2 linked regions of the Callithrix jacchus genome follow. The protein of the gene in region 1 interacts with the protein of each later gene in a biochemical or structural test. Links are inferred from orthologs where the notes say so. Each region holds a gene or a part of one and is shown in the gene's direction. Other genes may lie near its edges.

Region 1 (3,960 bases):
GTCAGCATTTGTCATCCTTTTGTCATCCAGTTTCCTGGTTCCTCTCACTAGTCTGTGAGTTGGAGGAGGGCAGGGCCTGGCCTCCATCACCTTTGCACCCACAGTGCAGGCAGAGTGTCAGTAACGATATGCTGAATGAATAAATGGAAACGAGAACGTCAGCGGAGAAGCGAGAGGAATGCACACAAACAGACCGACGTGGCCGGGCGCAAATGGCTGTCGCCTGTAATCTCAGCACTCTGGGAGGCCGAGGCGGGTGGATCACCTGAGGTTAGGAGTTTGAGACCAGCTGGCTAACAACGTGAAAACCCCATCTCTGCTAAAAATTAAAAAATGAGCCGGGTGTGGTGGTGGGCACCTGTAGTCCTAGCTGCTAGGGAGGCTGAGGCAGGAGAATCGTTTGAACCCGGGAGGCAGAGGTAGCAGTGAGCAGAGACTGCGACACGGCACTCCAGTCTGGGTGACAAAGCGAGAATCCGTCTCCAAAAAAAAAAAAAAAAAAGAAGCTGGACGCAGTGGCTCTTGCCGGTAATCCCAGCACACTGGGATGCCCAGGCGGGCTGATCACGAGGTCAGACGTTCGAGACCAGCCTGGCCAACATGGTGAAACTCCATCTCTACTAAAAATACCAAAAAAATTAGCCGGGCGTGGTGGCGCGCGCCTGTAGTCCCAGCTACTCGGGAGGCGGAGGCGGGGGTTGCAGTGAGCCGAGATCGCGTCACTGCACTACAGCCTGGGCATCAGAGCGAGACTCCGTCTCAAAAAAAAGAAACAGACCGACACTTCAGGAAGCCTGGCCGAAAACTCGGGGGGGGGTTACATGCATCTTTTCTCCTCCAGTTCTGTCTGGGAGTCGCTATCTAGAAGACCCAGGCCTTCCGTGAACGATAGCCTGGTTGTGGGGGGTGGGGGAAGGGCCACCGCGGCCAGTGGCGCAGGCGCACATCTCTGCGGCAGGCGGTGAGACCCCGCCCCCACGCCCTAGACCCCGCCTCCCAGCCCCTGGCCCGGCCAGGCGGCACCGCCCATGAGGCCGCATGCGCAGTGCGCGCGCGAGGCCGCCTTGCCCTTCTCCCAATGGCGGGCGGCGGGCCCTTTCCCGGCAGCCTCCCCAGGGCAGGGAGCGCGTCATTTCCGGTGGGGAAGACCCGCGGCCTCCGCCGCCATTTCGGGCGCTGCTGTGAGGTTGAAACCGGAGCCGGTCTGCTGGGCGGCGGGCGCCGTGGGCAGGAGGGGCGCGCGCGGCGCGGCAGCCCAGCGTGTAGGCGCGGAGGCAGCCATGGCGGGCAACTTCGACTCGGAGGAGCGGAGTAGCTGGTACTGGGGGCGTCTGAGTCGGCAGGAGGCGGTGGCGCTGCTGCAGGGCCAGCGGCACGGGGTCTTCCTGGTGCGGGACTCGAGCACCAGCCCCGGGGACTATGTACTCAGCGTGTCCGAGAACTCGCGCGTCTCCCACTACATCATCAACAGCAGCGGCCCGCGCCCGCCGGTGCCGCCGTCGCCCGCGCAGCCGCCGTCCGGTGAGGGACGGACGGGACGGACGGGACGCGGGGGCTGGGCGTGGTGAGGCCCGCGGAACTGGCAGCCCAGCCGGCTGCTGCTCCAGCGGACCCTCGGGGGTCGCGGGCCGAGGGCTGGGGGACCGCGGCGCCCAGCCGGGGAGCGGGAGCGTCGGGAGGAGGAGCCGCGGGCCGAGGCCCCTGGGTGTGCCTGCGGAGAGCGGCCCGGGGAAGGGGAACTGCTTCGGCCCAGGGTGGGGCTGGCTCCCGGGCCCGGCGCTCGGGGAGGGAGCGCAGGGCAGCGTGCGGACAAAGAGCCGAGGGAGCTGTTGGCACTGCGGGGGCATCCCTTGGCAGCGGTGCCCAGAATGAATCCGGTAATCCTGCAAGTGGCTTTTAGGCTGGAATCGTTTCCTGCCGGGTTTGGCCGTGCTCCCCTGGTGGCCTGGGGTGGGAAGTCACCACGTACTGGCCGGGAGGGATGGAGACACCCTCAGGAAGCCGGTCCGTTTTTTCCTTTCTTGGGCATTTTTCCAAAATACTTCCACCGTCCTCTTCCCCGGTTGAGGACGAAGGGGGTGAACTAAGTGCCTGGGTGATCGGAGGACGCCTTCAGGAACCAGTCCGACCCGCTGTCGGGGCATGTTGGCGGTGTCGGAGCGATCTAAGCGTCCCCGTAGGCTGCCCTCCGCTGTTATAGGCTCTGGTTCTCAGTGTTTAGTGGAGGAAAGACATCTTATTCCAGAAAGTAAACCAGAAGTGAGGCAATGGAAACAGCCCCATCCCTGGAAGGATCTGGAACTTGATATTCCCTGGGCTTGAACAGGGTCCGTGTGTACTCCAGGGCGTGACCTTGCCCCGTGAGCCGAGACTGCGGGCTGGATCTTCCTGGATGTTGGGAACAGACTGCGCAGAGGACATGAATGGTCTGCACGGGGTTTCCTTGCCGGGGACCCCAGGGAGGTGACTGCCTTGCCGGTGACATTGAGTTGTTTGGGAGGGTTAAGGGAGTAGATTTGTGTCCTTAGTGCTGGAGACTGAGGTGCAGAGTCATTCTGAGGTCCCGTTAGATGTGTATGTCTGTGGAACAGCGTCAGGACTTCTCGTGCCTTCACGCTGTTGCCAAGTCCAAGCAGCTTCTCTGCCAGCTTAGACTAGCTCCGGGCTAGCCTCCTATGAATCTAGAAGCTCCTGAGTCAGCCTTTGTACGCTTGCCCTTGTAGGATAGTTCTGATTTAGAGTTACTTTCTGGCCAGAAATAGAGAACTGGATGGGCAGTTTCTTTGTGGTTAACACATACCAATATTTATTTTACTTTTTTCTGAGATGGAGTCTTGTTCCGATGCCCATGCCAGAGTGCAGTGGCGCAGTCTTGGCTCACTGCAGCCTCCACTTCCTGGGTTCAAGCGATTCTCCTGTCTCAGCCTCCCGAGTAGCCGGGATTACAGGCGCGCACCACCACGCCAGACTAATTTTTGTATTTTTTTGTTGTTTTGTTATTGTTGTTGTTTTTATTGAGACGGGGTCTTGCTATGTTGCCCAGGCTGCACTGCAGTGGCTGTTGTTCACAGGTGCGATCCCACTACTGATCAGCATGGGAGTTTTGACTTGCTCCATTCCGACCTGGGCCGATTCACCCCTCCTTAGGCAACGTGGTGGTCCCGCGCTCACGGGAGGTCACCATATTGATGCTGAACTTAGTGCGGACACCGGATTGGCATAGTGCACTACAGCCCAGAACTCCTGGGCTCAAGAGATCCTCCCACCTCAGCCGCCCTGGTAGCTGGGACTACAGGCACGCGCCACTGCGCCTGGCTAATTTTTTTTTTAGTAAAGGCGGTGTTTCAACATGTTGACCAGGCAGGCCTCAAACTTCTGACCTCAGGTGAACCGCCTGCCCCAAAATATTAGGATTACAGGCATGAGCCACCACTCCTGGCCCAGCACATAACAGTTTTTAAAAATGAATATGGGGTCTTTATATTCACAAATTATTCTGGGTCTTTCTCATTCTGGCCAGCTTAATAGTATTGTAATATGAGATGGGAATATTGATGCACATGTGTTTGCCTTTAACCAGATTCTATTCTACTTTGATGCCACCTGCATGGTATCTAGGGTTTTGCATTTCACATAGTAACATGATGGCAAACTGTGATTGAAATCACTTTTCAGCCTTTTGTTTCACACCTCAGTGTAATGATTTTCTGTCTCAGCACTTACTTTGATATTGAGCACCACCTTTTCAAAACAGATAAGAGCTCAGTTCCTTGGCCCAGGACAGAAGGCGAAGATTGCCAAAGTTTGTGGACGGGGTGTGGAAAATTCACAAGTATTGTGATAATTCTTTCTGCCATGTACCCTGTATTCCATGATTCAGTTGCTGTCTTTCTCTCGATTCTGAGACAGGGCCTTTGTCACCCATGCTGGAATGCAGTAACATGAGCACCGCTCATCCTT
Region 2 (3,985 bases), on another chromosome or scaffold:
CTTCGTTTTCTTCCCTTCGTTCCTCCAATCGAAGGAGGCCTGAGACCTACTGCAGTTGTCTCCGTGTCTTGGGAGAGAAGATACCCCATCAATGTACCATGAGAGAATACATTCCCTTAATGTGCCATGAAACCAAATTCATTTCATTTAAAGGGCCGCCTTCATTCGGAGGCTTTGCCCATTTCTTGGTTTTAGCCTCTTTTCTTTTAGGAAATTACCATAAAAATAAATAGGTGTGTGTTGCTTTAACTTTTTCCTTGGAGAAATCTGAAGCCCCTACCTTTTACTGGCATGGGAAACACCAAAGCCTGAGAAGAACTCCCACCAGGGGCGAGGATGCCTTTCCTGAGTCCCACGCGTGGCCTGGGCTTTCCTTTCCCTGCTTCCCTCTCCCCTCTACTTCAGCTGATCTGAGTCCCACAACTATTCTAGCACTAGCTTCTGCAAGCCCAGCTGGGCTGAGGTTTGGGCTGCTTCCTCCTGGCCTCTCTGGAAAACTCCACTCATTCAGAACCCAAGCAAGAGGTCACCTGTTCGGAACGCACTCCCTAGCAGCGCTGTGCCACCTCTTTCCACCCCACTTGCGTGTCTGGCACTTACCCGTGCTGTTACCCGAGGCGTCCCTTTTCCCACCTGCCAGCCGGCCGGTGCGGCGCTCCCAGCACACTCGGGCAATGGGTGGGCGGGTGCTCAGGTAATGTTTGTCGAATGAATGAACGAGCCACGTGCTCAGGAGGGCCCTTCCTAGGGCCTCGGCCGGTTGGTTCGGGAGAAATCCGAGCCAGGGACCTCGCACCACCAGGCTCCGGCCTAAGTCCGCGCCGGGCAAGCCGCCCTTTTCCTACATCGCGTGGAAGCCCCAGCCCGTCCCGCCCCCCAGGGCGCACTGTTCTCACGGCGTGACCGCCAGTCCCGGGAGCTCCAGGGACCCACGAGACCCCCGCTGCGTTGCCAGGGTGCGGGGCGCGGGGTTGGGCGCGCGGGGGCCGAGGAAGGGGCGCCCCGGCGGCCGCGGGGTCCGGGCTGAGGGTCCGAGCCGAGGGCGGGAGCAGAGTCCAAGGCCGTCCCGCCTCCCGCCAGCGCTCCCGGCCTTTCCCATCCGGCCCGCGACGCTCCGCCCGCCCCGTCCCACATGACGCCGCCTCCGCCGCAAACTTTTTCCTCCCCATCCTGTCGCGGCTCGAAAGGAATGGAAAATGGCGGCCTAGACGCGGAGTTTCCTGCCCGACCCGCGGCGGCTCCGGCGGCGCCATGACGCGCTGGGTGCCCACCAAGCGCGAGGAGAAGTACGGCGTGGGTGAGCAGCGCCGCCGCCGCGCCTCTCGCCCCAAGCCCTGGCTCCGGAAGGGGGGGCGGGAGCGCCGGGCGCCTGTTGCTGCCGCCCCGAGCGGCCGCCGGGCCGGGGAGAGGCGCTTCCGCCCGCGCCCGCGCGCAGTGCCCGGCGCCCCCGGCCGTCCCGATTTTTCGAGCCCCCGGCAGCGCCCGCTCCAGGCCCGGGGATCCGGGCCCGGGACCCGCGGGGGTGCGGTGGGAATGGGGTCGGGGGCGTCCCTCCCCAGGGGATCCCCTCCGACGCCCGCTCCTCAGGACCCCCGCGGCGGAGCCCCCCGGGCGGCCCCGACTCCCCGGCTCCGGCCGCTGCCACCGGCGCGTCTGGGCCAGGCAGGGAAGCCCGGGGGTCACTGTCCGGCGGTGGCTTCTGCTTCTTGGATGAACTTGCGCCCCGCGTCCGGGCACTGGGTGGGCGGGCTCAGGTCGGCGCGGTCCGAGCAGAGAATTCCGCCCTTTCCCGGCGGGGAGGAGCGCGCGCGACCCGGGCGGCCGGCGCCCCGAGAGCCTCGGCGGTCTTGCCGGGGACCGTGTGGGACCTCGCCGAGAAGGCCCGGCGGCCCCGGGCCCGGAGACCCGTCCGGGAGAGGGGGGGCCTTGTTTTTCTCTCCGCGGCTCTTTGTCGCTTCCGAGGGGGATGGAGGGAGTCGGGTTGCAAGTTTACATTTCGGACCCAAGTGTGCATTCCAGAGAGGGAGGTTTTCTCTTGTGGTGGAACAGACGGACCCTTCCTCCGGGGACCCGCATCCCGCGCCCTGGGCACCCGCCACCGAGGCCTGTGCACGTCCACCTCCTCCGGACCTGCGTGCCTGGTCTCTGGCCCGGCGGTGGCTGCTGTCCTGCTTTCCGGGGTCCGGGATCTTTCCAGCTGGTTTTCAGCCTTGCTTTCCCTGTCCCACAATCCACAGGCTTCCTTGACCTCCTGCCTCCTCCAGGCTGCTCGGCCAGACTCGGAAAATCTTTGGTGGTCTCGCCTCCCACAGGCTGATTCCTCCGAGGACACCGTCTCAGCAGCAGCCCTGTGCCCGTTCTGTGCCTGGCCCGTGCATGGCCTGCACTGCCGGTGACAGTGATTTGCCCGCCCCTCTGCTGATGTGGTTCGAATCCTGGCCCTCTGACTTTTGGGAAGCGTCCTGGCAGCTCTTGTCCCCGGGACGCTCTCCTTTCTGTGAACAGTCGCTTCTTACGGCAAAGTGTCAATGACTTAAAATGGGCCCTGAGCGAGGAGCCGACTGGACAGTGGCCATGGGGACAGTCCTGGGACAGCCCTGGGTCCCACCAGGCCTGCGCTTGGCTTGTTCCACGTGCAGGGAGGCATAGGGGGCCTCCTTGCTTCAGGACTATTATGGCTGAGCTCCCTCCCCATTGCCCCATTTTGCAGATGCGATAATGGAGGCTCAGGCACGTTCACAGAAGTGCAGGAGAGCTCGTCTGTCTGACTGCAGACTCAGGGTGTAACTGGCACCCTGTGCGCCACAGAATGGATTCAAATTCTGGGGCACTTGGCACGTGCCTTCAGTCTGCATCAGAGGAGGGAGGTTTGGAGTGGAGATTCCAGCTGAGAATACTTGGGGTGTGGCGACAGTGGGGGGTCCCTGTGGTGGAGAGCCTCCTGGGGGCATGTGTAGAGGAGAGAGCTGAGGACTGACTCCCAGGGAACCTAGCACCAGCACGCAGACAGGGAGGAGGAACTGGACGGGTGGGAGAGGCAGGAGGCTGGCAGAGGAGCAGGCATCCCATGGCCCTGGCCTGCTGGGGAAGCAACTCAAGTGCCCATGGCCAGGGTGCAGTGGTGGCCATTGGCATCCAGTGGAGGCATCGGGATGCAGTGGGGGCCATCAGGATGCGGTGGGGGGCCATCGAGGTGCAGTGGGGGCTATGAGGGTGCAGTGGGGGTCATCGGGGTGCAGTGGGGGCTATGAGGGTGCAGTGGGGGCCATCGGGGTGCAGTGGGGGCTATGAGGGTGTAGTGGGGGCCATTGGGGTGCAGTGAGGGCTATGAGGGTACAGTGGGGGCCATCGGGGTGCATTGGGGTCTATGAGGGTACAGTGAGGGCCATTGGGGTGCAGTGGGGGCTATGAGGTTGCAGTGGGGTCATCAGGGTTGCGGTAGGGACCATCACTGCTCCCATTCTACAAAGGCAAGGAAGAGGTGGATTGCTTGCTTGAACTCACATCACTAGTAAGTGGTGCCTCCTGAATGTGAAGTGTGGCCACCCTGGGTTCAGCTGCCACGGTGTCCTATCCTTGCCTGCAGATGGGGATGGCTTCTCTTTGGGACACTACATTTTAAAGGAGACCTTTTTCCCTTTCGTCTGCTCCCAGGGTGACCTGAATGGTGTCAGTGAGGATCCATCCTATAGTGTAGCCAAAAAGAACAGGAGAAGACCAAAAAGAACAGGAGAGCAGGGTCTCCTTGAGGAGGGGGCTGTGAGCCCTTGAGTCTCATACCTTCCAGAAGCTTCACCAGCACTCATGGTAGTGACTTCTAACATCACATCTTTTGCTAATACTTTGGTTTTAAGAAAACTCCATGCTCGATTAAGAAAAAGTAAAATTTAAAAACTTAAGAAAACTTTGTGTTGGAAAATTTTAAAAGGCAAAAAGTATCTGGGATGGTTTTGCCAGGAAATTCTAGGAAAGACGTGAAGGGTTG

The links. The genes of interacting proteins can lie anywhere in the genome.
Region 2: the proteins of CRK (region 1) and DOCK1 form a complex in vitro, tested with the Homo sapiens proteins (3 studies listed by BioGRID and IntAct, with this or other methods). The link is inferred for Callithrix jacchus from reciprocal best matches to the Homo sapiens genes CRK and DOCK1.

The regions. Positions count from the first base shown.
Region 1 is NC_133506.1:66,780,136-66,784,095, forward strand, and holds the start of CRK (adapter molecule crk), read left to right. Parts: upstream 1-1,160; 5' UTR 1,161-1,280; coding exon 1,281-1,521; intron 1,522-3,960. UniProt on the Homo sapiens protein: Involved in cell branching and adhesion mediated by BCAR1-CRK-RAPGEF1 signaling and activation of RAP1.
Region 2 is NC_133513.1:120,225,850-120,229,834, forward strand, and holds the start of DOCK1 (dedicator of cytokinesis protein 1), read left to right. Parts: upstream 1-1,185; 5' UTR 1,186-1,251; coding exon 1,252-1,297; intron 1,298-3,985. UniProt on the Homo sapiens protein: Involved in cytoskeletal rearrangements required for phagocytosis of apoptotic cells and cell motility. Along with DOCK1, mediates CRK/CRKL regulation of epithelial and endothelial cell spreading and migration on type IV collagen.